Rhinolophus ferrumequinum: one gene and its partners. The protein of the gene in region 1 interacts with the protein of each later gene in a pairwise test. Links are inferred from orthologs where the notes say so. Each region holds a gene or a part of one and is shown in the gene's direction. Other genes may lie near its edges. The genes, in order: NUPR1, MPHOSPH6, KNSTRN and RANBP1.

Region 1 (6,748 bases):
CAGAAAATGACCCAGTTTTTGGCCTGCATTAGAGTGTTGGGTTGCTCCCACTGCCCTCCCGCTATTGACAAAATGACCCCTCAAAGTCCCTTCCAGATGTAAGACCTCTAGGGCATGACCCAGTTGATATAAACATTTTAGCTTAAATGGAAATCTATACTGTGAAGTGATTATTCCCCTAAAGAGATATTTGAAGCAGCAGGGTTTGGAAAACCTTAATGTCTGTACCTGGGGAAGCACAAGCCACGTATGCTTCCTCTTTGCTATGCCAGAATATCGATAGATGTGCTGAATCATCACACATTGGTCTATCGACCTAGAGAGACCGGTACCTAGTATTTTAATTATAGTGAAACCAGAGGGCAACCGAGTCCAGGGTTCAGCTCAGCCCATAGACCGACACAGGAGCTGGGCTATTTGGAATAAGTGTTTATTTTCAGAGCGCCGAGAAGGCAGCAGGTTAACACCTCCAAACTGCCTTAATGTTCTCAGACCGGCTTGGGGGTATTTAAAGGGAAATCAGGGCTTTCTCCCAGAGACTGCATGACAGTCCCAGAGGTCTGTTCTTCGCGGTGCCTCTCTCTGTCATTGTAAGTTTTTGGTGGCATCTGCGATCTGGGATTGGTGATGGGAGTAGCCTGGGATGAATGCTGAGCAATCGAGTTTTCAATTAACAAGTATACAGGCATTAATTACGAGCCCAGATGGGAGCAGGGCATCCCAGAGGCATCCTGAGCTCAAGCCACAGGCTAAGGAAAAGGGAAGCCAGGCTCCTATTGCAGGGGTCCCTGCTGGGCCCCTGCTTCAATTGCACTGAACTGGGGACAAGAGACTATGGTCTCCTGAATCCAGGAGTAGAATTCGCCGTACTCCAACTCCTTTGGTTAACTAAATGCACTATACATGTCCTCTCCTTGGCCTTCCCAGGACACTGTTTCATGACCTCCTGGTCTATCTAGCTTTTGCTCCTCTCTCCCAGGTCAGCTCACACGTGACCTTCTCTGGGAGTTGCTCACAAGCCTGGGTTAGGTGCACCTTGCAATTGAACATGCACCATCAGCCAATGGGCTGTCGTGAGCCCCTCGAGTACGCATGTCATGTTCTGCTTTCTTTTATAACCCAGCACTGAGCAAGTGTCTGCTTCATAGTGAGTTCCCTAAACATTTGTGGAGTGGAGAATGCTAGCCTCTCTGGTCCTTACTTCCTCATCTGTTAAATGGGTTGCATTTGCTGATCTCTGGGGAGACTTCCGGTAATAACATGTACCACTCTAGATTCTTCTACCATTGTTTTATCTGGCCATCATCTATCTTCCTTAGTAACCAGGAGAAATGGGTGACACCTATATTATGCTGAAAACAATGTATTACAGTTATCTGTCTTATTTCAATACATTTAATGCAAAAACTAGGATTATGCTGTATGTAACGTTCTTCAACCTGCTTTTTTCATTCAACGATGTAGTATGGACAACTTTCTCTTCAGAGCTAGAGACATTATTCTTTTTAACGGCTACAGAGTATTTCACAGACGGAGGCTGATCAGTCACCTACTGATGGACACTTAGGGTGTTTCCTGTTTTTCTCAGCTACCACAAGGCTGGGAGCACTTCAGTAGGACATTTGTACGTAGAACCACAATTATCAGGGTTTCTGTGCATTGGACAGTCTGATCAATATTGCCAAATCGCGTATTGAAAGACAGCATCTGTTTATATTCAAGGTGATGGTGTCACACAGCCAAGAATAATTGCAAGCACCGCTGTGGGGTTTGTGGGCTCCTCTGGACTGGGGCTAGGAGGTCACACAGACTTGCTTCGCCTCATTTAGGCTTTTTGAGTCCCCTGGTTCTACAGCGAGGTCAACAATCCAGCGTGGTTACATATCCTGCCTTCGGCCTCAGAAACTCCTGATGCTTTGAGCCAAAGACGTCTGCACATCTCACGGAGCCATAGATAGGGGAGACCTACCACTACATTCTCGCTGGCGGCTGGGTCGGAGACACAAAAGCAAACATCCGCCAGTACCCCAACAAGGGGATCTTTCTGCACCCCAGTCTCACTGGCGGCTGGGTGAGACACAGGAAGCAGGAGCCACATGACCCGCAATCCGCCGTCCGCTTTTCTGCCTTCCAACCAACCAACCAGCATAGTCACAGCAGTTGTATCAGTGGCGAATGGCCAACCAGTCACAGCTGATGGCCAATTAGTCACAGCTGACGGCCATCTACTACCCGAGCCAGCACCTTTCCACGTGAGGCCGAGAGCCTGGAAAGTGCTCTCTGGAACTCTGTCCCCACACTCAGTTTTCGAACATCCATTCCGGAAGACCGTTGGAGTTCTGAAACTTTGGAAAACAGCCGACAGCTAGGCCTCAGGATCTTGCACTCAGCAGAAGCCGCGTGACACCTTCGACTTTGGAAGCGTGTTCGAAAACCAAAGCATTTACTTCTGGTTTTACCGCGTTGGTAAGCCAAAATGTTCATCAACGGACACGTTGGAAAACCGGGGTACTACTGTAACATCAGGGGGATGGGATATAGGATAAGTGGGTGTGTGTGATATTCTGGACAGGCATGCGCACTGATTTGCTAAATATCCCTTCTCCATGGCGCTGAGCTCACCGATCGCACGTGGTACTTAGTTCCGCGCGACCTCCGCTTCCCACGTGGTCCAAAGCAGGGACTAACTGTTCTGGAGGAATCCTTGACAGGTGGCCTCCACACACAGCTGCCAAACCAGTGCCAGTGTTTGGCCAGCTGTGTTGACTTAGAACGAGCTCGGAAAGGAGATCAGGTCGACTGGGGGAGGGTTCCTTCCCACGCACCAGCCGCCTGACCTTGAACAAGCTGCATTCCCAGCGTTGGGTTTCCTTCTTTGAAGAACGTGGGGGGGACAGGGGTGGTATTGCCGTACCCCACGTGCCCGACTGTGGGCAAAGCCCTGTCACACACTGAGCCCGGTCTCTATCCTGCCTTTACAGAGGAGCAAACTCAGAAGTGGGCCCAGGATGTCACGAGGAATCTCCGGTCCCAGGGGCCCAAGCGAATGCGTGAAAGATCGCCCTCTAGGGGCAGCTCGGGAATTTGTGGGATTTCTTGGTTGTCACAAGGGAGGCAGAACCAGACAGTTGCACACAGAATTGTCTCACGTCCAGCACAACGTCTGACGGTCCTGCTGGATATTCTTGAAGCGAAAAAACTGAGCCTAGAACCTACCCCGTCCGATGTCATGATGGAATTATTTTGCTACTGATTGAGTGATAAAGCCACTACTTAGCAAGAACAGTATTTCCTAATTTTCTCCACCTTCACTTGTCTCCGTGTGGTATCGTTGTTTAAATTAAGGTTATTTTTCGCCTTCTCTTAACATCTGTTCTGTTATTGTTATCCCAACTCTGTTTTTATTCCTGTCCTCCTGTCTTTTCATTTCCTGGACAGTAAAGAACTTACAGATCACCCAAATCTGGAAAACAAAAGCTAAATTGAATTCTGGCTCAGGCCAGGGAGACACGCCAGCTGATGCTACTTCTCCTTAAACAGAGGACAAAACTGGGTTATTATAGAGCTTGGGGAAGGATGCGGTTTAGGTAAGTTTAGATGGAATAGTGTTTCAATAGGCTCACAGCTGAGTGGGGGTTGTGAGCAGAGAATGAACATCTGGGCTGGGCTGACAGGGTCAGATTGTGTTGGAAACCACAGAGTTTAAAAGGAAAAAGAAGAAGAGAAAAGCCTCCTTCCCTGCCCCCGACCGGGGGAGCTGGGAGCTGGTACAGAAGCCTCCTCCGCTGAGGCTTGAGTGGGCAACTGGGGGTGTGGCTTCCGTGGGGCCACAGGACCCACAGGCAGAGCCTTCCGGCAAGAGTGGAAAATTCCACTTTCACATGTTTCTTATCCGAACCCCTTCCTTTAGTTCATTATTACAGGGGTACAAACATCTGCTTACTTCAGAATGCCTTCTACTTCGGTGTATCTGTGTTTTGAAATAGATATTATTTTATTATAAATTAATTTCCTTTTCTGTCTCCTTTACATTACGGGGAGCGCATTCCACCGAGTTGTTTGGAATTAACTCTTACATAGCGCAGCTTACAGTGTACCAGGCACTGTGGCCAGGGCCTTTCCATATAGGATCTCATTTGACCCTGTCACCCACTCTGGGAGGTGGACACAAGTATTAGCATCCTCATTTTACAGAGGAGAAAACTGCGGCACAGAGAGGTGAAGTGACTTTTCTGGGGTCACACAGGAAGTAGTGGGTCAGGGGCTTGAGCTCTGGCTCCGGAATCTGCATTTTTAACCACTCTCTGGCCTCCCTCTCAGAGGAGGAAAGTGACCCAGGGGCCCAGTTCAGGATAGTAAGGAGGCTTCCCAAGATGTTTCTTATAAAAAAGGAGTGTTGGGTGTGACAGGGAGAAGAACCACTGGCCTAGCACATAGTATGTTGCTATCCTCTCCCCATATCCTTCCCTCCACACTCTGCCACCACGGTCCTGAATCTGAGCCAGAATTGTGGTGGACGTGAGGGTCAGCTGTGTAGCCAAGACCCCAAGCGTGGAGGGGGCACGTGGCAGAGGGCAGGAGATGGACAGGATTGGGTGGGCCAGGTGAGGTCCTTGGTCTCGCTGACCAGGATCCCTGGTCATTTTCCTCCTGCTACCTGAGGGGTGGGGATCTCCTCTGTGGAAAATACCAGCTGGGCAGCCCCAGTGAGAGGGAGGAGGCAAGCGGGGGCTGGGACTCACTCTTTTTTCCTCTCGTGACTGGTTCTGGGAAAGAGCCCGATTGCATCAGGCAGGGCCTGAGGGGTTGGAGCCAGACTGCAGGCTGAGGAAGAGACGTGGCCTTATAAATTGGATCCAGTGAACTGTCAGGAGATCAGACACAAACAAAGCTTTAGAAGGCTAGAGAGAGAGAGAGAGAGAGACAGTGAGAGTAAGCCAGACCTGATGGCCGCCTTCCCCCAAGCAGCCAGCCCATCCCAGCAGCCCCCAGGCTCCGAGGACGAAGACCACAGCCTGGATGAGTACGACCTCTACAGCCTGGCTCATTCTTACCTGGGTAAGGCCTGGCCCTGCCATCTTCCTGGTCCTTCCACTTCTGACGCCCATGTCCTACAAATGGTCTGACACCCCCCACCCTTCACAGTACGACCCCTCCTTGGACTTCTCCCCACCCCTCACCCTTTTCCAGCCTGTTCCCTGAACCCCTCATCCACTCAGCAGTGTTCTACTCAGCTCTGGGGCCTCACACATGCCTAGAAAGTTGGAGAAACAACAGTTCACCTGGGCGGCCCTCATTTCTCAGATGGGGAAAGAGGGACGATGACTGCCCCAGAGCTATGTGGTGACCACCCTGCAACTCCCTACTCCAACCCAAGCGCTGCACCCCGAACCCCCACCTCTCCTCTGAGGCTTCTCATCACGCCTCCAGCCACCTCACCTCAGGCTCTTGCCTTTGTTCCCAGGAGCGGGAGGCCGGAAAGGTCGCACCAAGAGAGAAGCTGCTTCCCATACCAACCACCCCAGCCCTGGTGGGCACGAGAGGAAGCTGGTGACCAAGCTTCAGAATACGGAGCGGAAAAAGCAGAAGGCACAGCTCTGAGACAGAGCTGGAGGTAAGGGGTCCGGGGCTCGAGGACCGCGGAGGTGCCTCTGCCTCCAAAGGCCAGGGCTGAGTGTGCGTGGTCGGGTAGGGAGGAGGGATCAAAGAACGGTTGTCTCAACATAGAATAAAACGCGACATACATTTGACTCTGAGTTTCTTAGTGACCAGAGCAAAGCAGGGAACTGTAGACCCTTTCTTACTGGAGGGAAATCTGGTTTACAGGGAGGGAAACAGGCCCCGAGAGGGGAGGGTCTTTCTCTGGAGTCACAGAACAAGTGAGGAGGAAAGGCAGAATTGGAAACCTCTGTCCCTTTCACTACCTGCTTTCCTTCCCCAGATGAGGCCAGAGCACAGACCCCACACAGCGATGGAGGCGCGACCACGCAGGAACGAGCCCCTTGGGGGGCTCCAGGCCTGCTTGCCCCCAACGATATCCCCAGGACTTACCCCACAGAGACTCTGAGGGGCCACCAAGGAAGTGCCCCCCAGCCCCAGAAAAAGGGCAAGATGGGGAGCAAGAGGTAGGGAGTAGAGAGGCAGAGTCACGAAGGTGCGCCCCGAAAGAAAGACACCGAAGAAACCGGAGCTCCCTGGGGTGGCGGCGACAATAAACAAAGCACAGAGCTGCAGCTTGCTTTGTCCTCGTGTGTGGTTTTGTTGGTACACAGTTCTGCGTGGGTCTGCTGTGCACCACCAACGAGCGTCTTCTGTTAGCGTCTGCATTTGATTCTGTATCTGGGAGGGGGGACTTCTGGTTTTGTGGGAGCGTGTAGAGGGGTGTGTGTGTTTGCGTGTTTGCTCCAATACGCATGTCTTTGGGTGCATACGTTTCTGTGGTCTTTTATGGGATGCAGGGGAATTCCTCTGCTGCTTTGTAACACTGCTCAGGAAACAAGCCCCCTCCCCAGCTCCTCTCCATTTTCAGAGTAAGGATCTTGTTGATTATGTTGTATTCACAGAAAACCAGCTTTGGGAGTAAATGTTCCTTACCAGTGCCCATCTGTAAAATGGAGAAAACTGAGTCTTAAAACATTAAGGGACTTGCCCCAACTTCCTCAGGGCTCAATTTCAAGGATGCTTATTGTCCTCAAGTGTGGGGTGGGTCCTTTTGCCCAGGGGGCTGCCAGGACAGCGGTCTGGGAGG
Region 2 (7,671 bases), on another chromosome or scaffold:
TCATCCTGAGGTGTCAGTGTAGATGTCACTTCCTCAAGAAAGTCTCTCCAATCTTCTCAAATCCAGATTAGGTTCCCTGTCATAACTCATCTCTGTGACAGTATTTAGGACCTGTATCCATACTCTCAAGGAAGGGGTAGTTTCCCCAGCACCTACCAAAGGCCAGGAACATCAGAGATGCTCCAAAATATTTGTGAAAGAATGAAAAAGGCAGGAGTCAGGGAAAAAACAGGAGTCTATAGCAATCAGAAAGTAGTAAGATTTAGCCATTAAATTCAGGGATAGGTTCATGGCAATGGAAAAGAAAGGATGAATGGAGTACAACAAAAAGAAAGCTAAATGGAAGGTTCACAAATCTAAATTCTGAGTTGACACAATTTTGTATATATAACTAGGAGATTCACCCAGCTCAGTAGTTTTCTAATCCTGGCTGACCATCAGAATCACCCAAAAATCAAGAATAATTTTTGGTTTTGACATATTTAATTCTCCCATTGTCATAACCACTAACTGAAGTTTAGTAATTATTTACCTGCGTGTCCTGTAAGGCCACTTCTTGCATTAATGCTCTAATTTAGCCAAGATAGCCACAAAAAATTGATAGGACTTGGTAAGTAGCTGAATGTAAGAGCGGAAGGGCTATATTACACTCGATTTTTAGGCTAATTGACCTCGAGTCACAATTTACATATAAACAGGCAGCCAATAAATACTTGCTTATTAAATGAAATAGGGAAGCAGGAAGAGGGAGCACATTTTATGAGAAAGAGTAGATTTGATGTTGGCTATTAGTTTCTCAACTGACACTCTACCAATTATTTGTCCTTCAGGGCTGTGCTCTTCTTTCCTGCCTTAAGTATATATTTGTCCTTGCCGTTGCTGTTTTTGCTATTTTAAGGATTATCTCTTCTTTGGGTTATGGCACCCAATTTCTCTTTAAAAAGCTTTCCCTTCTCCATTTTATATATTAATACATGGACTATAAATCAGGTCTTGCCCTCTCTTAGCTAAGACTCAATGAGACTCTCTCGTAGACTTTGAAAACTTGAGTATCCTAAGAGCAAAAAAATCAGCTGGTGCTCATCATTCTTTCAGTGGCACTAAATTCTTGCTTACTAGATCCCTGGACCACTTTGGTTTCCATCCCGTTAACTAGGCCTTGCTCTCAGGCCTTTTCATTACTTCTATGAACTACCCAGTATCCTTCTAAGAAACCCCCATTTTATCTTGATAATAGCTAATAAGCTATTATCAATGTCGGGCACTTGCCAAACAACAAAATAACAGAAGCTAACACAGAAAGGAAAGAAGGAAGGGGAGAGAGGAAGAGAAGAAGGGGGAAATGCAAGCCATATATGTAATTTTAAATTTTCTAGCAGCCGCTTTAAAAAGGAAACCGCTGACATTACTTTTAATGATAGGTTTTATTTGAACCACTGTGTCAAAACTATTATTACAACATGTAATCAATATGAAAAAATACTAAGATATTTTACTTTTTTCTCTCCAAGTCTTTGAAATGTGGTATTTTAACACTTACAGCCCATCTCAATTCAAATGCTAAATTTTCAAAAGTTAAAGTAAAATGCAGTCCTTCCAAGACCATAAAATGTGTATAACAGGAAAATATTTTATACTGCTAGTTTTTAAATTTAACTAAAATATTCAGTTCCTGAGTCACATTAGCCACATTTTAACTGTTTGGTAGCTACATATGAGTACACCTACTGTACTAGGCTGAATAGCCTTACATATAATTGGCTACAAGAGTGAAGAGACTCGGGACCTTTTCTTGATGGATGTAGTAGTTGGAAGGAATTGGGAAGTTTTCATACTTCCCAGAAATTCCATTATGAAAGGATTCAGAATTGTGAGAATATGTATAGAAATTTCTCTTCCCCAAAATGATGTTTCCTTGGCTGTGTAACTAAAACAGGTTAACACATTATTGTGAGACCCAGACTCTATTCTACAATTTAGTAGCATAGAGAGATCAGTTACCTTCCCTATCAGAGAGTTTAATTCAAAGTTAAAATTACATTATCACATACTCTTAAATCAGTTCATTCATTACATTTTGATGGGTATCAAGAGATTTTGAAGATTAGTTTTAATTATAAATATTTTCACTGTCAAATAAAAATGTAGAAATTTGAATGACAGGTTGGAGAATCTGAACATTATCCCTCAGCTAACAGTTATTGTACATATTGGAGTAGGAGAGTGACATAATGAAGTCAATGTTTCAGGAAAACAAATCAAAATCCAGTGTGCAAGAGGTCCATAGGGAAGGTGTGGAGTTTCTAGCATCCTTAGCTAGTGTACATATACTCTTATTTCTGTCAGGAATTATTATCCTTTTACACTGAGAAGATATGTGCTCATCCTTCAAGGTCTAGTTCAAAGTCAGCTGTTTCTTGGATGCAGATGGCAGTGACTTCTTCACCTCTGATCCCACAGAACTTCTTTCAAAATCCTGAAGAGAAGTCAAATTCAGAGACAGACAGTAGAATAGTGGTTGCCGGGGGAAGAGGGAATGGGGAATTATTGTTTAATAGGTACAGAGTTTCCATTTTACAAGACGAAAAGTGTTCTGTGGATGAATGGGAATGATGGTAGCACCAAATTGAATGACTAGAGGGCCTTTCCCCAGCCTAACTCCTTCCCTTTCAGCTCTCAACTTAAATGTCACACCTTTAAAGGCCTTCCCTTTTCCAAGCCAGAATGGTTTGCATACCTTTGCTACACCCTCTCATGAACCCTGCACTTTTCTATAGGACTCTTATTACAATTGTAATCTATAGCTAATTATATGGTGTAATTAGTTTGCTAGGGCTTCCATAACAAAATAGTACAGACAGGATGGCTTAAACAACCAAACTTTACTTTCTCACAGTTCTGGAGGCTGGAAGTTCAAGATCAAGGTGTAGGGAGGTTAGGTTTCTCCTGAGGCCTCTCTCCTTGGCTTTCAGATGGGCACCTTCTCCCTGTGTCCTCACATGGCCTCTCTTCTGTGCGTGTGCATTCCTGGGGTCTTCCTGTGTGTCCAAATTTCCTTTTCTTAAAAGGACACCAGTCAGATTGGGTTAGAACCTACCCTAAAGGTTTCGTTTTAACTTATCACCTCTTTAAAGGTCCTATTTCCAAATGCAGTCATGTTCTGAGACAAAATCCAGATGAATTTTGGAGGGAGACAATTCAACCCATAACAGGTAACTAGCTCTATTGTTCCCACTTGGTCAACTCTATGACGACTCGCATCCGCATTTAAGGACCTTTGCAGTTGCTAGTCCCTCTTTTTAGAACATGCTTCATACAGCAGGTTTTTCTTAACTTTCAGGCCTTAGCACGATGGTCTTGTAAGAACCATCTCAGACCATCTTATCTAAAGTAACCCCCAAAGTCACTGTCACCTCCTCATTTTCTTTCTTCCATGGCACTCACCAGAATGTCAGCCCCAGGCAAAGGAGGTCATGTGTTTTTCTGAACTACTGTAGCACAGAGTTTAGCCCAGTGTCTCACACAGTGTGGTGAATGAATGAGTTTTGATAACCACTTACCAAACTGTAATTTTATTTAATCCAGTGAGAAAACCTTCCGAGGCAGGGCTACCTTTTCATGAAGCTTTCCGAATCTCCCCTCGTAACACTTACTTGCTGTGAGAACTCTGGCAAGTCCCTTAACCTCTCTGGGCCTCCGATTCCCTAAATATATGATGACAGTAACACCTTTTCAGGGTTCTTCCGAGGATTAAATAATACCCGTATGGTACCCAGCACAAGAATTTGGCATGTAGCGCATGTTATCAGCTGAGATGCCATTAGGCTGGGTGTTTCCCAAAGTGTGGCACCTGTGAAAGGTGTGCAAAATGTTTAGCGGTACAGAGCACTGAAGCTATCATCTTTTCAACGATTTAATTGGAAATAAGGTTGTGTTCTCGCCCTCATGTATCTTTGATTATCTCTTGCTATTCTTCCTATTTAACAGAAAGATCATTTCGGTTCAAAGACGCACACAACAGTTAACAGGTGAATTTAACATGGTTTTCCATTGTATTGCTGAAGCCAGAGCGCCAGGGCTTACACCCACCTCCCTCAGTCTGACTTCGAACTAGCGAAGGACCCTCCCTCTACCTCAGTTTCCTCAACTGCAACACGGGGATAAGAACAGTACCACCCTACAGGGTTATCGTGAACATAAAATGAACTATTACACGTCATGTGATGCAGAACATAGCCCGCCATCCGTGTTAGAAACACGTGAAAGAAAAGGATGGGGAGGCAACCGACTCAAAGGTCTCACGAGGACAACTGAGTCAACGACGCGCGACAGGACTGAGTCCGTAAGCGGGGTGGGACTCGCCACTGCCAGGCCCTGGGTCGCTCTGCCCCGTGCGGAGCCTGAGGGGCCGGGTTGAAGCCCTCAGGGGAAGGCAGCCGACAGCTCGCAGCGACCAGAGCTCCGCCCTCCTCCGGCTTCAGCCTCTCTGGGGTCTCCCTCCCGGCGTTAAGATTCTCTGCCCCCGTGGCGGGCGGTCGCGCCCTTACCCTGAGCTTCTAGGAGATGCATGCGCTCCCTGAGGCGACACGCGAAGAGCCCCTGACGCCTTCGCCCACGAGAAGCAGGGGCGGGGCCACAAGGCACGGAGACGCGCTCTACGTAAAATGACGCCGCTGCGTACGCAGCAGCGCGCGTGCGCAGTGGGGCTCCTGGAGGAGCGCGGGGCCTAGCGGAAGCCAGCATGGCAGCGGAGCGCAAGACCAAGTTGTCCAAGAACCTGCTGCGCATGAAGGTACAGGGACACTGGGGAGCCATGCCGGGAGGGTAAGGCCACCTGATTCTCCCGGCCTGGCCGAGGCCGAGGCACTGGGCGTGCGGGGGCGCCAGAGAAGCGCCGGAGGGCATCCACCTCTCGCGCTCATTCATTCCCTTAGCGTCTGCTCTGCGTTAGGCACTGGGAACCGGATTAGAAATCCGGCGTATTCTCTCTTAAAGCCGGCGGGTGGGAGACGCAGACACGTAAGCGAGCAGTTAGGATACAGCGTACTACGTGCGGTGACGCTGGAAGCGCCCGCACCTCGGGGAACTTAACGTGGGCTTCTGCGGGAAGTGGTCCTAGAGACTGAAGGGTAGGTGGGAGGGTGGGGAACCTAACAACATAAACTGCGGGAAGAGCGAGTTCAGAAGTTTGAGAGGCAAAAACCAAAAACCCATGGTGATTTTTAAGAACTAAAGATAATTCATTATGTCCTGAAGGCAAGTAGCAAGAAATGGGCCTGGAAATGTAGGCGGGTCATTAACATGCAGGAAATTTTAGGCCAGATTAAGGAGTTGTTTTCTTTACCTTGTGAGTGTTGGGAAGCTATGGAGCACAGGTAGCAGTTATCAGCTGTGCCTCTTACTTTTCAAGGTTACATTAACTGTCCTGTGAAGAATACGTTGGTGAAAGAAAGACTCGACAGGACAAAATTGCAGTCAAAAAGACCATCTAGAAGTTTAGATGATTTGAGTGAGGGGCACAGTGGCATTGCAATGGAATTATAACAGTTCAGGTGAAAGTGAGTTATGTCACCCAACGTTAAGCAAAATTGATTTTTATATTTCAGATTGGATCAATTTAACCAAATGTCAAAATGGCGGAAAAAGACAAGGATAGATAAAATAAATACAGGAATTAAAATAGGAAAAACAACCAATCCTTAAAACTTAAATAATAATAGCAAACATTTACAGTTCTTGCTGTGTGCCAGACACAGTTCTAAATGTTTTGCATGTATCAACTCAAGAAATCCATATACGGTGTTTCCCCGAAAATAAGACCTAACCAGACAATCAGCTCTGATGCACCTTTTGGAGCAAAAATTAATATAAGACCCGGTCTTATTTTACTATAATGTAAGACCGGGTCATATAATATAATATAATTAATATAATATAATATATACTGGGTCTAATATAGTATAAGAGCGGGTCTAATATGATATAAAATATAATATAATACCGTGTCTAATATAATAGAATTCCGGGTCTTACATTAATTTTTGCTCCAAAAGACGCATTAGAGCTGATTGTCCAGCTAGGTCTTATTTTCAGGGAAACACGGTGATAACTCTTGAGGTGAGTGCAGTTATTATCCTTCTCTAATAGTCATAGCAACTGAAACAGGGAAGTAATTTGCCCAAAGTTACTGCTTATAAGAAGTGTAAACAAGACTCAGACTCAGGCAGTTGGTACCAGAGCCCCTTGCTCTTAACTACTTCTGGTCGCTGAATACTTATAGATGTAAACTGTTAAATGTCGTGTTTAGAGAATTGTGGAATTTCCAAGAAGAGGAAGCAAGGCATAAATAATGTTTTGAAAGATTGGACAGTAAATATTGGATGGGCAAAATCTGAGTGGAGTTGAGCTAAGGTGTAACTAGGAATGGATAGGGTGAGGGTAGCGGGTAAATCATAGCATAATTTAGTTTCCAAAGTACTTCTTTCATGCATATTAGCAAACTTTGAATCTTTACTGAACAGTTTTCTTGTGGCTTATGGTATGTAATCATGTAGATTTCAAAGAAGTGAAGTGGATTGACAAAGCAGACCCTGAAAAGATTTTAGCAGTTGTTTTAGCTCTTGGATAAGTCAAATGAGGCCGTACTGGGTGATTAGGGCTCAGATCAAAGAGCCCTGACTTTGGAAGTAGGAATGAAGAAATTGACTAAAATTATTCACCTCTAACGCGAGTGGTTCAGAGAGACTCGACTACACATTGGAAGCAAAGGAGAGGGAAAAAAATACCCAGGTTCTCTATTTGGGTTAACAACTTCGGGCATTGATAAGAAAGAACTTATTGAAAGGCTAGCACGAGACACTATATATACAGACAGAGTGGAATGTTTTATGAGAAGGAATGAAGCAGCTGCCTGATGTTGCAGTATACAGTATAGCGCTTCAGCCAGAGCTAAGTATAGAGCAAGAAGGAGAGGGTGGAGGATTTAATCTTGACTCAGTTGTTTTCCAGTGTACTTGAAGTCCTCTGACTTGGGTCAGCTGTTGGGCTGGAGGTTGATCCTGATGGGAAGTAAAAAGTGAAGAATGTCAGTGGAATGTCTGTCGGTATGATGGAATTGTTGTAGTGAGGGTGCTTATTTGTGATTTTAGTTCTTTTGGACTCTTAAGACATTTTTCTGTTAAGAGACAGATAAATACTTGAGGCTTGTGGGCCAGTCTCAGTTGCAACCACTCAACTCTGCCATTGTACCTCAGAACCAAATGCGCGTGGCTTTGTTCCAATAAAAGTTTATTTACAACAGAAGTCAACCCTAAGGGCTGCAGTTTGTGATACCTGCTGAAGGTCCTCAGTTGTGAGTACAGCTAAATCACTAGTTTTAAAGTGTGTTCTTAGATGCTGTGGAGTCAGAAGAATTGAATTTCTGTCTGAGTCTGGAGTTGCTTTATTCCATAGTAACTGGGTGTTCTATCCTTTCCATATGCTTAGAAATGTGTGTGTGTGTGTGTGTGTGTGTGTTTCTGTACATACTTGTATGTATATGGTTATTTTGTGTACCATAAAGAATGTCTACTTGACTTAAAAATAGGAGGAAAAAAGGGCAGTTGGCAAGATTGGTGAGTTTTACTACCAAGAACATGAGTGATGAAATGAGACATCGGGACTTAAAGAGAA
Region 3 (7,132 bases), on another chromosome or scaffold:
TGATCCAGGCTGCCGCTTACTTCCCACATCTGGAGGATTCAGTGGGGAAGGTCTTTGGAGGGAAATGCCAAGCTCTCCTTGTGACCTGCTAAGGGCTCGTCTGCCCCACAGTGCCAACCAGGACCCACCCTCTGGAAGGGGGAAGGCCAAATATGTAGCTCCAGGTATTAGGGGAGGTGGACCTGGCCCCCAGGCCAAGTAGCAAGAAGTCCAGTGGAACTAAGGGGCCCAGCTCTTGGGACCCTGTGGGGGTACCTCAGTGAGCAAAAGAGCCCTGAGGAACGTCAGTAGCCTCCTGGGCCTCACACCTTTCAGGGGCTCTTTAATAGGACACTTTCTTTTCTTTGGGGAGCTTCTCTGGGCCAGTATTGGGCTGGGGCTTCAATCCTGAACTGCCCTGCCCCCCTCACACACCCCAGTCTGACCAGAAATTCGTCAAGGCCGGGCAGAGATGGCAGCTGGGAGTGAGGCAGGAGGAGGAGCGCTGGCCAGCCTTGGAGCATCCCTGTTCTACTGAAGGCTTGTACCTCGTGGGAAGCTGTTCTGGCAGGGAAGAGTGGTCTCCCCTTGTTAACAGTCAGAATCCTTTCCATCCCTGCCTCTTTCAGTTTACAGAACACTTCCATACCCATTGTCTCCTTGGAATCTCACTTCACTATGGGGTAGCCTGCAGTTGGCTAGGCTCTTTTGCCCCTAATTTATAGGTAAAGACATCGAGACTAAGTAAAGTTAAGCAATTTACCCCAAATTACAAAGCTAGTAAAGGAGAACAGGTTTCCAGACCCACTCCACCACTACAACTCCCACTCTCCTCCTGGCTGCCTACCCCAGGGACATTGGTCTGTGGCTGTCCTCATCTTTTACCGCCAGCACCCTGCTGTTACCGGCATCCTCTGGGGTCTCTGAGTAAACTGCCCTCCCCCCCTTTTAGGCTTCCATCTCCAGAGAGAGCTACTCTGCGCAAGCCTGGAATTCCCCCATCATCCCTATGTGTCCTGCCTGATAGAGAGGCTCCCCTCCCACGCCCAGACACTGAGGACAGCAATAACTCAGGCCTACCCCATAGGGGCGCGTGTGAGTCTGAAGCTGTTCCCCAGGTAGGGTTCCCAGCTTCCAAAAGACAGGTCTCTCTGGTGGCCCTCAGCAGACCAAAGGCTGACTCCTCCCCCCCAAAGCAATGACTCTCTCTGGAAGATTTATCCCAGGTGAGAGCTCATGACAGAAACATCAGCAAGTTTACTGAATACCTGCTCTGCATATGGTACTGCAAGGGGACAGAGTCATGGAAGGAAAATCAACATCTACCCTCAAAGAGCTCAGCCTGTAGCTGGGGAAACAGCTTAAACGTCTGCACGAGCATCAGTGGGTCACTGAGGGCATCTGCCTGTCACCATCAGTATTGCTGGAGCTCAAGTACCCAGGACTGGGTAACCAGGAAGGCTTCCTGGAAGAGGGATGACTTGAGCTAGGCTTCAGAAGTCTTACGTATCTCAGACTGGAAGGAACCTTAACAATCATCTATTCCAGCAGTTTTCAAACTTTGTAGCCTCAGGACCTTTCTTCAAAGAATCTTTGTGTAGAAACACAGTATATAAAACATAAAAAACAGCTACTCTGGTGAGTGCTGGGTGGGGGAGGACAGAGCCAGTTCAGCCTCCTTTTCTGCTGTGCCTCTCAGAGGGCCCTGGAGAACCCCTCAACCTCCTGACTCCTGCACAGCATGTGGTGTGAAAACCCCTGACTCAGGCCATTTTACAGATGAGTATTACAGAGGGGGAGGGAGTTTCCCAGGGACAGTCTGTGGCAGAGCTGGAGACAAATTGGGCTGTTTTGTTTTTATCCTATATTGTGGAGACCCGCCTCGCACCCCAAGCAGCCCATGAAAAGTGGGACAGAAACCCAAATGAGACAGGCATTGTGGGAGAGACAGAAGACTGTGGACAGGGTACTTTGCAAGATAAATAACTCCCACCCATTTGACTCGACACCAGGAAGTGGAGGGAGTGAGTCGGACCTGACTTGGACCTGTGCCCGTGGGGGTCTGCTTGGGCCCCTCTCTCCTCATGTCCAAATGGAATTGAGCCTCTCTGGCTTCGGGCTGCTCCTCGGGGTCCTGACTTCTCGGCACCACAGACCATGTCCTTCTGTTATCACACAGCCAGGCTGAGAGAGCCCTGGCCTCACCTGGGACAGTCAGCCAGAGGGAGGACAGGTAAGCCCTTCCTCCTGAGCATGAGCAAAGTCTGGCCTTGACTCAAAAGAGAGTCCAGCATTGTCAATACTTCTCAGCAACTCACTGAGGTTCTTCTGCCCTGTGCTGTGGGAGGGCCCCCGGGACCTGGACCAGAAAGAACCTGCTCCTCTACACCCTCTTTTGTGTCTTTCTGGGGCAACATTGGTGTCTGGGACTGGAGCTTCCAAAGCTTTGCCAGAACACAACCACTGAAATGTGAGAGCCAGGGCACGGGGTGGGCACCAGGGATTTGGGCACACCTGAGGACCTTATCGGGGATTTCTGGGTCCCATTCATCCAGGCCATGGCCATACAACCCTACTGGACGGCAGAGGAGCCACAGAAGCTGATGTACTGACTGGATTTGTTCTGTGTGCCTCTGGGCCCAAAGGACTGGAAGAACCCAGTGGCAATCAAAAACTTCACCTCGTACCAAGAATGGCCTACACCCAACAGCAGACACCCCACTTCAGCGGGTAATCCAGCCTGCCTCCCTAGCCCCAATTTTGGAAAGCATGATTTAAAGCATTTTCTATTTCCTTTGAGTTTCCGCGGATCTAGTCACTTTGTTATTATTGTAGGTGGTTACAATCAGCCAGTGGCCCAGGACCTGTGGGGAGAGGCTTAGACGCATGCTGTGAGGCCAGGGAAAACCAGTCAAAGCATTCACATTTGGTCTGGAAAATTCAAGAAATGGTCTCTTACCACTGAGACACTTTAAAATACAACTACATTGACACTCATTTGGGACTTGAGAGTGTTTCTCCTATTCGTGTCACAGATCCTTGAACTCACAGATTATGTGTGGTGTGTTTTTAACATGTAACTCGGTATAGTTTGTTACTGTGGGAAAACCTGTCCTTCCATGGCTGTGGCGCTTTTGTGACAACGTTAAACAGAGATTGATTTGACTCTCAGAATCTTAGATTCTGGCACATGGCATATGCTATACCATGGTATTTAGGCAACATCCCAGCTTGAGCCTGATTCTGAAAACGACATCTCATAAGAGATTTATAAGCCAAACTTGCTCAGCCCCCTGCATCTCATTCCATTCTTCTCCCAGTGAATGACGGACAGGGAGGCAGAGGAGGGGTATCAAGAAAGACGATACATTGATTTACAGCCTTCAGCCGTTGTCTGGAGAATTCCTGTTCTTTTATTCCATGGTGGCCTCATCTCGGCTTTGGATAATACACATGGCAATGCCAAGCCCTCTGGCACCCCTGCCATGCATCAAGATCCCGTTTGCTTGGGGATAGGAAAAGCAGACATTCCTCACCCTTTCTACCCTTACCCTTGTTCATAGGGGCATCGGTAACTCAAGGAGTGGAGGTATTTATGTTTAAGAGAAGAAATTGTAACACAATTCACCAGGAAGATGAGAAACAAAAGAAAGCCATTATGTGCTATGTAAACGGCTAGCTGTCCCAGGCCACCTTCGCTGAAGAGCCCTGGAAGGACTTTGATAAACTTATAATTATTATCAGGCCTCTGTGTGGTTATTCATGTTATTCCTCAGCGTAGGAAAAAGATCAGCATTTTACCAAATTCACAAACATTGAATAAGAGCTTCAGTATTGCTAAAGAAAATCACACAGGTGGGCAGAGTGATGCAGATCTGAATTCATGACCTTCAACCTCAACTGGAACCTCAGCCCTGCCTAGCTAGTTTCCATTCTAATTACTAGTTTCCATTGTTTGTAATGACCATTTCATACTTTCTCTACCTTCCCCAGATATCTGACGCCCTCCACCTTCCACACCTCCACTTTCAGTAGACAGCTCATCCTTCATAAAGAAAACTGGAGGTATCAGATAGAAGTCCCCAACTTACCTCCCTCTGCGCCAGCCTGCTTCTCTCCCCATCCCTTCTGTTACAACAAAGGAAGCACTAATGGCTCTATCAATGGCTTCACACACTGCACCAGAGGCCTTCAAACTAAGGCTTGCATTCCCACAGCGACATGAAGTTTTTCCAAAAGGTAGGTAGACACAGACAGTTTTTAAGGGAATCGATTTCCAGAACTTCTTCCTTCATAAGTTCCCTCTCCTCTTATTGATCAGCCTAAGAAGGAGCCTTAGGTCAGCCAGTTCTGCTTGATCTCCACTTTCCCAACTGACTCCCTCCTTCATTTTGAATCCTACTCTGGCACATTGCTCTGCAGTATAAAAAAACAAAAGGACTACTTGAGAGTACTCGGCTTGAAGAAGTCCTTGAGAGAGCAAAGCCTAGAGAGTTGGCTTTGAAAAATTTTGAAGGGGACAGCCCTGTAGCTCAATTCTGTGCCTTCTCCATTTAATTTGAATTCTTTATTTTAATTGAAAAACAAAATTTAAAAAAAGTTTTTTTAATAAAACAAAATCTGACGTTTTCTGATGGAAAGTCAATCTCATTTGGCTGATGGGTTTGACACAGAGGACTGGCTTTGCAAATAGGATATATGGTGGACATTTTCCAGAAATGGAATCATTTAAATCTGAAGCTTCATGGTTTGAACAAAAATATATTTAAAGTACATATACAACTTCCCCTTGCAGCCAAGATCGAGTAGCAGGAACCAGATTTACCCTCCTTTCTAAAACAACCCCCCAAACAGAAACAACAGTTTTCACAACTCTGGACATAAGACAACAAAGGACAGTGATCCTGATGGACAAGAAACAAATGAGGTGACCCTATGATTGCCTGGCTTACTGCTTGAGAGAGTTTCCAGGATGTATTGCAGGGAGGGAGAACCCAGGCAGGGCCATGCAGACTTCCTGAGCTGAGGAGATAGCTCAGAGTTTGGGGCAACCAAGGTAGCTAGAGTGCTCAGGACAGAATACTGGAGAAGAGAAAAGTGCGCAGAGAGAGAAAGAGAGAATTCTGGAGATCTGCAAAGGGCTTCCCTCAAGTATTCAGCAGAACACTGCTCATTATATAAGTGTGAGGAAACTATTTAAGACCAAGGAAAAAGAACCATCAAAATGATTAGAGGGAACAGTAGCCACTAGTCGCACAGGGCTGGAACATTACCTATTCCCATTAGCCAGACTGGAAAACCTCATAATTTATGGAGCATTGGTTAGAGTTCTCAGAAGGATCTTGCCTCAGTAGTGAGGACTCATTAGCCCTAGTTTAAACATTGTTCATTCCCACCTAACAAATCTTAAAAGCAAGACCTGACAGGATCAAACTCTTTCTAAGTAATGTAACTGCATCCCAGAACAAACCTCCAAAATATCTACAGGAACACAAAACCAGCACTCAAAAATGTAAAATTCACAATGCTTGAGGTCTAGTAAAATTACCAGTTATGCAAAGAAGCAGGAAAATATGACCCAGAGTGAGGAGGAAAATCAATTGGCACCAACTGAGAACTGATACCTGTATGAGTCACCTGACAAGGACATCCAAACGATTATTATAACTGTATTCCATATATTCAAATAGCTAAGTAGAAACTTGGAAGATATTTTTTCAATACCCAGATTGAACTTGTAGAGATGAAAACTAAAATGTCTGAGATGAAAAAGCAATGGATGAAATTAAAAACAGTTTAGACATTGCAGTAAAAAGATTGGTGAACTTGAAGACATAGCAATAGAAATTATCCAGAATGAAATACCAAAAGAGAAAAGAATTTTAGAAATGAATAAAGAGCATACATAATATATAATATTGTGTTCCCCTAAAAATAAGACCTAGCTGGACAATCAGCTCTAATGGATATTTTGGAGCAAAAATTAATATAAGACCCAGTCTTATATAATATAATATAATATAATATACCCAGTCATATATTAATTTTTGCTCCAAAAGATGCATTAGAGCTGATTGTCCAGCTAGGTCTTATTTTCAGGGAAACACGGTAGGTAGAAAGTGTGTCCTTTACAAATATTTACAATTATGAAAATATTTAGGCATTAACTACAAATGGGTGAGAGGGTACATTGTTTTTTTTGTTTGTTCATTTTATTATTTGTGGGAGTACATGAACAAAAGAATTTGAAGATGCTGCTGTAGACCCCAACGTCCTTTCCTCTTTCTCTATGGCTTTGCTCCTTTGATCATCCCCTCTGTCCTCTGAAGCAACCTTTTCTTCCTCTCAGCTGACTCATTCCCATTGGCACATGTATCAGTTAGGATCTGCATCTTCGAGATTCCCCCCAGCCCACCTCCAGTTACTGCCCAATTGCTCTGCTCCATTCACAAACTCTCTATACCTGCCATCTGCTCCCCCAGCTCTCATGTACTCTTCAACCTGTTCCAACATGGCTTTCACTCAAACCCCTCCACCAGAATTTCTCTTCCTATACAATGACTTATTTGTTGCTAAATTAAAGGCTCCTTTTTATTTCCCATCTGGCCTGCCCTTTCCGTTATTTTCAATAGTTTACCACTCCCTCCTTCAATAGTGCCTTACTTCTTCCTTCTTAGCTACTAAGATACCACCATTGATTTGTTTTCTTCTCACCTCTCTGGCACCTCTTTATCAGGTCTCTTGGCTGTCACCTTTTTATTGTAACCTTTAAATGCTGCTGTCCCTGTCGTTGGCCCTAAGTGTCTCTGTACTTTTTCCCTCGGTGATCTCATTCAATATCATGGATTTAAATGCACCCATATACACATGACTCCCAAGAGTGTATCTCCAATCTAGACTCTCCTCTGGGCTCAAAGCTGGTATTTCCAACTGCCTGCCTGACAGTTTAAACACTTGAATGTCTCAGAGGCATTTCAAATTTACCATGTTCAAAACTAAACTCTTAATCTCCCCCAACACAAAATAGTGAGTATCCACACAATTATTCAAGCCTGGGAGTAATCCTTCAGATCGCCTTATCTCTTATCCCTCCTCCCCCCGCCACTTCCAATCTAGCACTGAGTCCTGAGATTCACCTACAAAAGCCAAGTCT
Region 4 (7,611 bases), on another chromosome or scaffold:
CCGGGGCCCCCACCTCACACTCACTCCACAAAGTTGCCCATGGCTGCCCGGGGGTTGCAGGAGACATACAAGAGCCGCTTGAGGTTCTCAGCTCTGCGGATGGCCAGGATCACTTTGGAATCTGAGGAAATAAGACTCCCTCAGGGAAACGTCCCCACCTCAAGGAGGGCTGGTGGGGCTAGTGAGCATGGGCATCAGGCCTGAGGCTGCACAGCCTGGTGTGCCAGCCAGTGTCACTACCCTCTTCTCCATCATCCCCAAATGGATGCCACTCACGTAGGCCAGCACGAGGCGGGTCCAGGATAGCAACAAGCTGCTGAGAAGCCAGTCTGCTCACCACGGTGGGCACCAGGTCTTCGGCCCTCCCGCAGTGGAACTCAACGTTGCTCAACTCTGTAGATAGCACAGCAGCCCTGTCGGGACGCAGGACACCGCCCCCGCGCACCCCCTCGGGCCTGCCCAGCCGCCTGGTGTCCTGATGCCCCTGTCTTGAGGCACCTTAAGAAAACCTCTAGCCAAGGAGCCTGTTAGCACTTGTGTCACACAGCCCGGGCCTTGCGGGCACACATGGACACAGCAGGAGCCCTGCTGTGCTCTGCACACCGCCCTGCCCTCACCCCGCCCCTAGAAGCCATGAAATAAGATTTAGGTGCTGTGCTGAGATGACTGCCCACTGGTGCGCTGGCTCTCACCATTGTTGCGGGCATTCACATGGGCGTCCTCCACAGCCTCCTGGCACAGCTCAATCCCGATGACTCGCTTCACTTTCTGAAGTGAAGAAAGGGCACAGACTGATAGTGCCCTGCCCCACCCTGGGGGCTTCTTGGGGAGGGGAGTAGCAGGAGGCACTATGGGGAGAAGAGGCTCTGGGACAGGCTGGGGGTTCACCTCAGTCTTTCAGGTGGGGGTCAGTGGGGGTCACGAAGAGGTGATAGCACATGGGTGGGGGTAGGCAGAAGGTGTCTTCAGCTTGGGGCAGGAGGGCTCACCCGGGCTAGGGCCAGGCCAATGGTGCCAGTGCCACAGCACACATCCAGCACTGTGCTCCCGGAGTCCAGCTGGGCCCAGTCCTGGATAACCGTGTAGAGCACCTCCGCGGCCGGGCTGTTTACCTGGAGGGCGGGCCAGCACCACGCAGGATGTCAGAGCAGTCCTGCGTCCCAGGTCAGCCTCCCCTCCTGCCGCCCCCACCACGCCTGTACTCCGCAGGGCTCTTTCCCTGCTAGGAGACCTGTGGCCCAGTCCCTGGCTTACTCCCCCTTTTCCTAGGTCTCCTGCTCCCACCCCTTCCCCACCTCCAACTGCCCCTCCATACACCAATGCTGCATAACCTCACCCAGGGCCCGGGCCTTAAAAAGCAACTTGATGCTGACCCCTTCTTCCCCCAACTTATGAACTGAGTGCCAGATGTATGGGGCCACCCACAGCAGCAGCAGGCATGGATGACTCCATCACAGTTCACACAAGAGCCCTGGCATCGCCAACTCCTACACCCCACATAGGGCCCTCAAGCACACTCGTCACAAGGGTCTAGTTAGTGCAAACGACTTCATTCCGACCTCACAGCCCGGATGCTCTCCCCCAGACCTCTGCAGGTGAACAACTTGTCACCGCCTAGCGCACTGCCTTTATTACATCTTGACGTCACATCAGGACTCCCTTTGTGTCTTGATTATGAAGATACGGGGACTCTGGACTACCTGAAAGAAGGCGTGAGGGGAGATCTGGAAGGTCAAGCCCAGCAAGTCCTCATGGATGCACCGGTCCCCAGCCACGTGCTCCAGGGGCAGGCCCTCTTGGCTGGGAGTCTTCCTATGGGTGGTAGGCCAGTTGGTTAGTGTCACCAGCTCTGGCAGGAATCCAGCCCACCACCTACCCAGGCTCCTCACCGCTGTCCCTCCTCCACAAAGTACAGGCAGGTCACGCCACTGGCCTTGCCCGGCCCTGCTGTGAAGTGCTGCGCCAGGGAGGCCTTCAGTCCTGCCAGCTCCTCAGGGCTCAGTTTCTGGAGTAGGAAGTAGAGAAGGTCCTGTGAGACTGTGTTGCATGCAGCCCACTCAAGCCAGGACACCCTCCCGCAGCAGGGCCACCCTGCCTGAGACCTGAGGGTGGAAGTAGGCAATGGCCATGGCTTGGCCTCGGCGGCTGGTGCGCACGGTCAGCTGCTTCCAATGGCCTGAGTATGTCTCTGGGTTGTACGCCGAGTATGGAGTGGACCTGTGGGAGCCACGAGCGGCCGTGAGTCCATGAGACCTGCCACCCATGCTGACCAGAATTGGGAGATCAGCCTACCTTCCTCTCGTTCGGCCACACCCACCAGGCAGGACCCGGCCCTCTGCTCCCAGACCACCGCAGGACATCCCGGAGCCCCCAGCCCAGCCACAAGTCCTCACCGGATGAAATCCTGGAAGGCCTTCACCACCTGCTTGGTGGCCTTGGGGATGTGCACGGTGTCAAAGGGGGCCGCCACAGCACATGTCCCACCCTTGTACTTGCCTAGCCGGCAGCCGACCGTGTTGTCCTCCCCATCCACCCCGACGCCAACGAGAAACTCACACTTGTTACGATACTCGGTCTGCAGAATGGGTGGAGGAAGGCAGAGACATTCCTGACCTTACCCTGGCATTCCCGCACTTGTACATGGAGGGAAAATTGCAGGAAGTGAGAGATGGCAACGAGTGAGAGGTCCCAGCTCCCCAAAGGGCCTGGCAGTCCAGGGCACAAGGCTGACAGCAACCAGCAGTCACGTGACGAGTATGAGGAATAAGTGGAAAGCAGGAGGGATGGGAGAGATGGACTAAGATAGCTTCTTTAAGAGCATGGGGTGAAGGTTTGTGGGCCTGACCTGCTGGGGTGACGGCCTGACTCCCTCCAGCGGGCAGCAGGCCTTGTTGTGCTTGTGCTTCTGTGAGAGCAGCCAGGGCACCAGGGCACGGTTGGTGCTCCCAATTTCCCTGCAGGGTGAGGTGAGGCCGGGGTTGGACTCAGCCTGCTGCTCCCAACCCATCTCCAATCACTCTCCAAATACCCAGGCACCCAGAACCTCCCTTGGGACCTCATTATCCCCACTGGTAACTCAGGGGTCTTACTGGTTAGCTCCCCAAGACAATGTGCAGACCCTGAGTGTGTCTGTACAGTGCACAGGATGGGCTTGAGTGAACATGGAGCTGAGCAGAACTCCAGTGCCACATAAGTGACTGTGCCCTTACTCACTTGGCGAGCCTCTGCAGCACCTGCTCGCACTCCAGCCGCTTCCGCTCAAGCTGCTCTGTGTAGGGCACGGTCCAAAGAGGAGTCACCACATCGGCCACACATGTGGCTGGTGGCTCACTCTCATCCTCACGCTGCCTCTTCCTGGCCATGGGATCAGCTTTAGGCCTGGCCAGGCGCACTCTGAGAGGGCGGCCCTTCCAGAGAGCACCGTGCAGCACACGCAAGGCTTTGTCCCGCTCAGCGGCACTGCGGAATGTCACAAAGGCGCAGGGACGTTGCCCAAAGAGTTTGGTCTTATGGGGCTGCAGGCCAAAGCGGCCCAGAAAGTGCCGCACATCGCTGAAGCTGGTGCGGCGTGGCACGTTCTGCAGCTCCAACTTGAAGATCTCCGAAGTGAACAGGTCGTCCCTTATGTAGCTGTAAAGCCCAGGCTGAGGCCCTGACTCTGCAGCCGCCCCAGCCCCCTCTTCCTCCGTCTCCTTCTGGGGGGCGGGGGCTGCAGGGCTGCCCAGAGCACTGCTGCTGTCCTGGTCGCAGCCCTCCATTGGCCCCGGGCCCTGTGTGGACACAGGCAGGGCTAGGATGAGGGCTGAACGCCCAGGCTCCCCGGCCGCACACCCAAACCTCCGTTAGTGCATCCTACACCCATCCTACACCTACCCCTTTTTACCCCCACTTCCTTCCTCTCCCAGCTCAACTCCCCGTGCCCACGGGTTTCCTACCTCTCCCCCCCCTCCAGCCCCTCCCACGCAGTCCGCCATCTCGGCCCCGCGTCTCTTGCTAGGATCTCCCTTCACTTTACTTCGTTGTCGAGTTTATCATTCATCGTCCAGTTTGTCCAAGGCCTGGACTGGAAGCCCCACAAGTGCCGCCTCCGCCTCCTCGCCCTGGGCCTGGCGCACAGAAGGCGCTCAGAGCACAGGTGCGGCGCCGAGAGGCCGCCCCCGGTCCCGCCCCGTGAGGGAGTGGGTAGGACTGGAACCCTAGGTGCTCAGGTCCACGGTCTCGGGTATGGGGTACACTTCCCGCCCGCCAGAGGCCCCGCGCACGCCGCTCTCCCCGCCCGCAGCTCTCCCGTCGGCCAGTTCGTGCAGACTAGGTGGCGCGTGTCTATTATCCTAGCTTCCGTCGACGTCATCGCTGTGCGCCGGCACCGACCCCGGTGTCTGTCGCCTGCTTTCGAAAGCTCGAGGGGCGCGCGCAGCCGTGGGGCGGAAGTGCGCGCGAAGGCCGCCGGGAGCTCACGCTGCTCTGTCCGGGCGGGCCAGGCATGCGCCGCGGACGTTTTGGCGGGAAGCGCGGGGTGGGCCGGACAATGAGATTGTCCGTCGCCTGAGCCAATAAAGCTGCACTGGTTTTGAATCACGGCGCGTTTCCCGCCGCTGGGGTCAGGGGTCAGGGTTCGGGTCGCGGGGCGGAGGGAACTGCGGGCGGGCGGGAGGCGCCGGCGCCAGACGCGGAGGGAAGGAACTACGACTAGCCGCAGAGAGGCCGCGGAGCCAGGGACGACCAAGCCAGCCGAGCCGCCGCCGCCGCCGCCGCCGCGCCTCCATGGCGGCCGCCAAGGTGCGGCTGGGCCCGGGCAGGAACTGGACGGGGGCCGGGGGGCCGAGGCCGCTATTGGCGGCCACGTGGGCGGCCCGCGCCGCCGCCGCCAACCCCCGCTGTCCTGCGGTCTCGGCGTTTGGGGTCTCGGTGGCGCGGGGTAGGGCTGTGGGAAGCGCGGCCTGGGGGTTCGAGGCCTTCGAGACGGGGGCGCTTGGGACCTGGGGGCGCGGGCTCGGGCCCGGGGGCTGCGGGGTGCCCGCGTGACCTTGGGGCGGCCCCGGGTGGTCGGGCGAGCTCCATCAGGACGTGGGGCGGCCCCGCCGCCCCAACTCCTTGGTCTCGCGTTCCTCTCACCGCTTGCCAGGGACGCAGGGCGGGTGGCGGGTTTCCTCTGCTCGGCCCACTTGCGGGCTTCTTACCAAGACCATGCATCCCTCCTTCTCGTCGTCTGCGCAGCACTTCATTCATTCTGTCCTAGTCTCGATCCGCCACAGGCCTCTGCGGCAGGACCTCTCGCGTTCCAGCGGGGTGGACGGGTACTGGACGCGCCGACCCAGGGAGGGGACGGCTTTGTTGGCTGCGTGGTGGCTGCTTGGGTGAGCTGGCTGCGGCCGAGCCGCAGTGCTTTCCAACCAAGGAAAGCAGCGAAGGCTTATCTTTTCTTTTTCGGCTTACATCTGGTAGTGAAGTGTCTTGGTTTCTTTTGGTTTTATAGCTCACCAAGCCACTCGTCCTGTAAACACTTCGATCTAACATAAGATCCTTTGTGTTCTATAGTTCTCTAAAATGGACCAGCATTTTATGGCTTTTATTTGTATGTTGTCTTTTGACTTATTAACTTGGTTTCTGAAGCAACATAAAGGTGCTGACAGAACTGTGAATTTTGTGTAAAACTAGCAGTCCCAACTTTTTTTTCTTCTAGTAAGCAAGAGCACAGATTTTTCCCAGCCAGTAAAAACTCTTAGGGTTGTTTTTTTGCTTTAAGGGTGAAATTGCCTTTGAGGCCCTCTTCAATTCTTCCTTCATTGTGTCTTTTGGTCTTCACGTGGCAGTATCACTTATCCACATTTTATAGATGAGGAAACTGAGGCTCAAAGAGATGGGGCAGTTTCTCAGGCCATTCCACCAATAGGTAGCCGAGTTTTAGGCATCCCAGTCAAATATGATTGATGCATCTGGGGGACGATGCTGAAGTCCAGCGTCTCACTGTATGCTGGACGTACATGCAAACCTTTCCTAGTGTGAAAGGCTATGGGCTTAATCTCTTGCTTTGGGATGAGGCCATTCACCAGTGCGAATGGCCACTTCCAGCAGTCACCTCTCCACACCTCCCTCCACAGGACACCCATGAGGACCATGATACCTCCACCGAGAATGCAGATGAGTCCAACCACGACCCGCAGTTTGAGCCTATAGTTTCTCTTCCCGAGCAAGAAATTAAAACGCTGGAAGAAGACGAAGAGGAGCTTTTCAAAATGTAAGTGACCTGATGTTACTTCAGAAATAAATATTGTTAGTTGAAGATGCAGTTTAAGGTTTTTATGGGTGTCGAGTTTCTGGCCTGACCTTTAATCAGAGTGAGGCTGAAGAAAGGGCCTAGACTTGTGTGATGGCTAATACTACGTGGAAATCAAGGTTGCTGTTAGAATCCACTTATTAGATTACTTACTAGTGGGTGCCACTGCTGCCCCATGGCCAGTGCTGTGGAGGGCACAGACACTCCCTAGAGTCCTGTCACTTCTGCTGTGTTCACAGGGTGTATTTTCCTTTGTGTCTCAGCTGACTCCCACAGCCCCTTTCCCCTGGTTGAGCAGGGAGTCTCTACCTTTACTTCCGTTATTATTAATATTTTTGCCATGGATTTTGGCAGTTTGTAGCTTGTGAATCCCTGATTTATGTTTTTAATGCACAAAATTAATGCCTGGAATTACGACAAAAGTGGGTGGTGTTAGAATTATCAAGATTACTTTTAAAAATTACTCTAATTGTGCTTCTTGGTGCCTTCAGTGAGAAGCTCCAGTGCAGGTGTTATTTTGAAGCAGTGCCTGCCCTAGCAACGTGTTGTTGAGATGTCTGCAACAAAGTCACAGCCCTGCCCAGCCTGTGGCCTGTTGCTTATGCTCAGAATTGCAAGAAATGCTAGGTTCAGTTACAAGTTAATGGTGATAGTGTTTCCCTTGTCCAAGCTTGTGGAACTCGCCTGCCCCTCTTCAGATCTATCCAAGATACCAGGTTAAGACGGGGGAGACCAGCCCCTCCCCACCACTCCCAAAGGCCTGGGAAAGGAGAGGTGGCAAACCCCTCTTTGGTCTCAGGGTGGTGGAATTGCCCTGAAAACACTGGTTCTCCAGGTCTCTGCTCTGTCCAGAAATGATGCTGCAGCCAGGGGCTGGCTCCTCCCAAGAGTGAGGACTGCTGGTGGAGCTATTGCTGTTACCTCCCTGCCCGCACAGAAGGTGGGAAGTGCTCCTGGTGCCCTAGACACGAGTCCTTCCTGAGGGAAGTGAAGCCAGCAAGTAGGGCCTTTATATCTGGGCCCTTGGGGCTCTAGGCCAAAGCTCTGGAGGTGGCCTTGTGAGAACATCATCTCTCTTAACAGAATTGCGTTTGGGAGGGAGAGCAAAGTGTTCTTCAGTAAAGGTACCAGCAGAGCTGGGGTCCTGTGATGGGGAGCAAAAGGGCAGGATGGTCAGTGGGGTTGGGAAACATTAGCCTGAGCCCTAGGGCAGGACTGCTGGGATGGGGGCCTTGCATGGCCCGGTGTGAGGTGCTGTTCTGGGCAGGGAGGTGGGATGTTGGGCCAGAGCCTGGTGGCCTGAGCTGAGGCCTGTAGCTCCCTCTCTGGGCTGG

Evidence for each region.
Region 2: the proteins of NUPR1 (region 1) and MPHOSPH6 interact in a two-hybrid assay, tested with the Homo sapiens proteins (2 studies listed by BioGRID and IntAct). The link is inferred for Rhinolophus ferrumequinum from reciprocal best matches to the Homo sapiens genes NUPR1 and MPHOSPH6.
Region 3: the proteins of NUPR1 (region 1) and KNSTRN interact in a two-hybrid assay, tested with the Homo sapiens proteins (2 studies listed by BioGRID and IntAct). The link is inferred for Rhinolophus ferrumequinum from reciprocal best matches to the Homo sapiens genes NUPR1 and KNSTRN.
Region 4: the proteins of NUPR1 (region 1) and RANBP1 interact in a two-hybrid assay, tested with the Homo sapiens proteins (2 studies listed by BioGRID and IntAct). The link is inferred for Rhinolophus ferrumequinum from reciprocal best matches to the Homo sapiens genes NUPR1 and RANBP1.

What each region holds. Positions count from the first base shown.
Region 1 is NW_022680357.1:1,129,450-1,136,197, forward strand, and holds NUPR1 (nuclear protein 1), read left to right. Parts: upstream 1-4,790; 5' UTR 4,791-4,946; coding exon 4,947-5,058; intron 5,059-5,464; coding exon 5,465-5,601; 3' UTR 5,602-5,614; intron 5,615-5,941; 3' UTR 5,942-6,233; downstream 6,234-6,748. UniProt on the Homo sapiens protein: Transcription regulator that converts stress signals into a program of gene expression that empowers cells with resistance to the stress induced by a change in their microenvironment.
Region 2 is NC_046298.1:28,028,657-28,036,327, reverse strand, and holds the start of MPHOSPH6 (M-phase phosphoprotein 6), read left to right. Parts: upstream 1-4,656; 5' UTR 4,657-4,741; coding exon 4,742-4,792; intron 4,793-7,671. UniProt on the Homo sapiens protein: RNA-binding protein that associates with the RNA exosome complex. Involved in the 3'-processing of the 7S pre-RNA to the mature 5.8S rRNA and play a role in recruiting the RNA exosome complex to pre-rRNA; this function may include C1D.
Region 3 is NC_046289.1:64,664,170-64,671,301, reverse strand, and holds the start of KNSTRN (small kinetochore-associated protein), read left to right. Parts: upstream 1-4,119; 5' UTR 4,120-4,130; coding exon 4,131-4,218; intron 4,219-7,132. UniProt on the Homo sapiens protein: Essential component of the mitotic spindle required for faithful chromosome segregation and progression into anaphase.
Region 4 is NC_046308.1:24,568,753-24,576,363, forward strand, and holds the start of RANBP1 (ran-specific GTPase-activating protein), read left to right. Parts: upstream 1-4,605; 5' UTR 4,606-4,764; coding exon 4,765-4,779; intron 4,780-6,101; coding exon 6,102-6,238; intron 6,239-7,611. Other genes in the region: TRMT2A (tRNA (uracil-5-)-methyltransferase homolog A), read right to left, coding at 25-121, 277-393, 693-768, 990-1,112, 1,701-1,812, 1,890-2,005, 2,103-2,217, 2,394-2,575 and 3 more. UniProt on the Homo sapiens protein: Plays a role in RAN-dependent nucleocytoplasmic transport. Alleviates the TNPO1-dependent inhibition of RAN GTPase activity and mediates the dissociation of RAN from proteins involved in transport into the nucleus.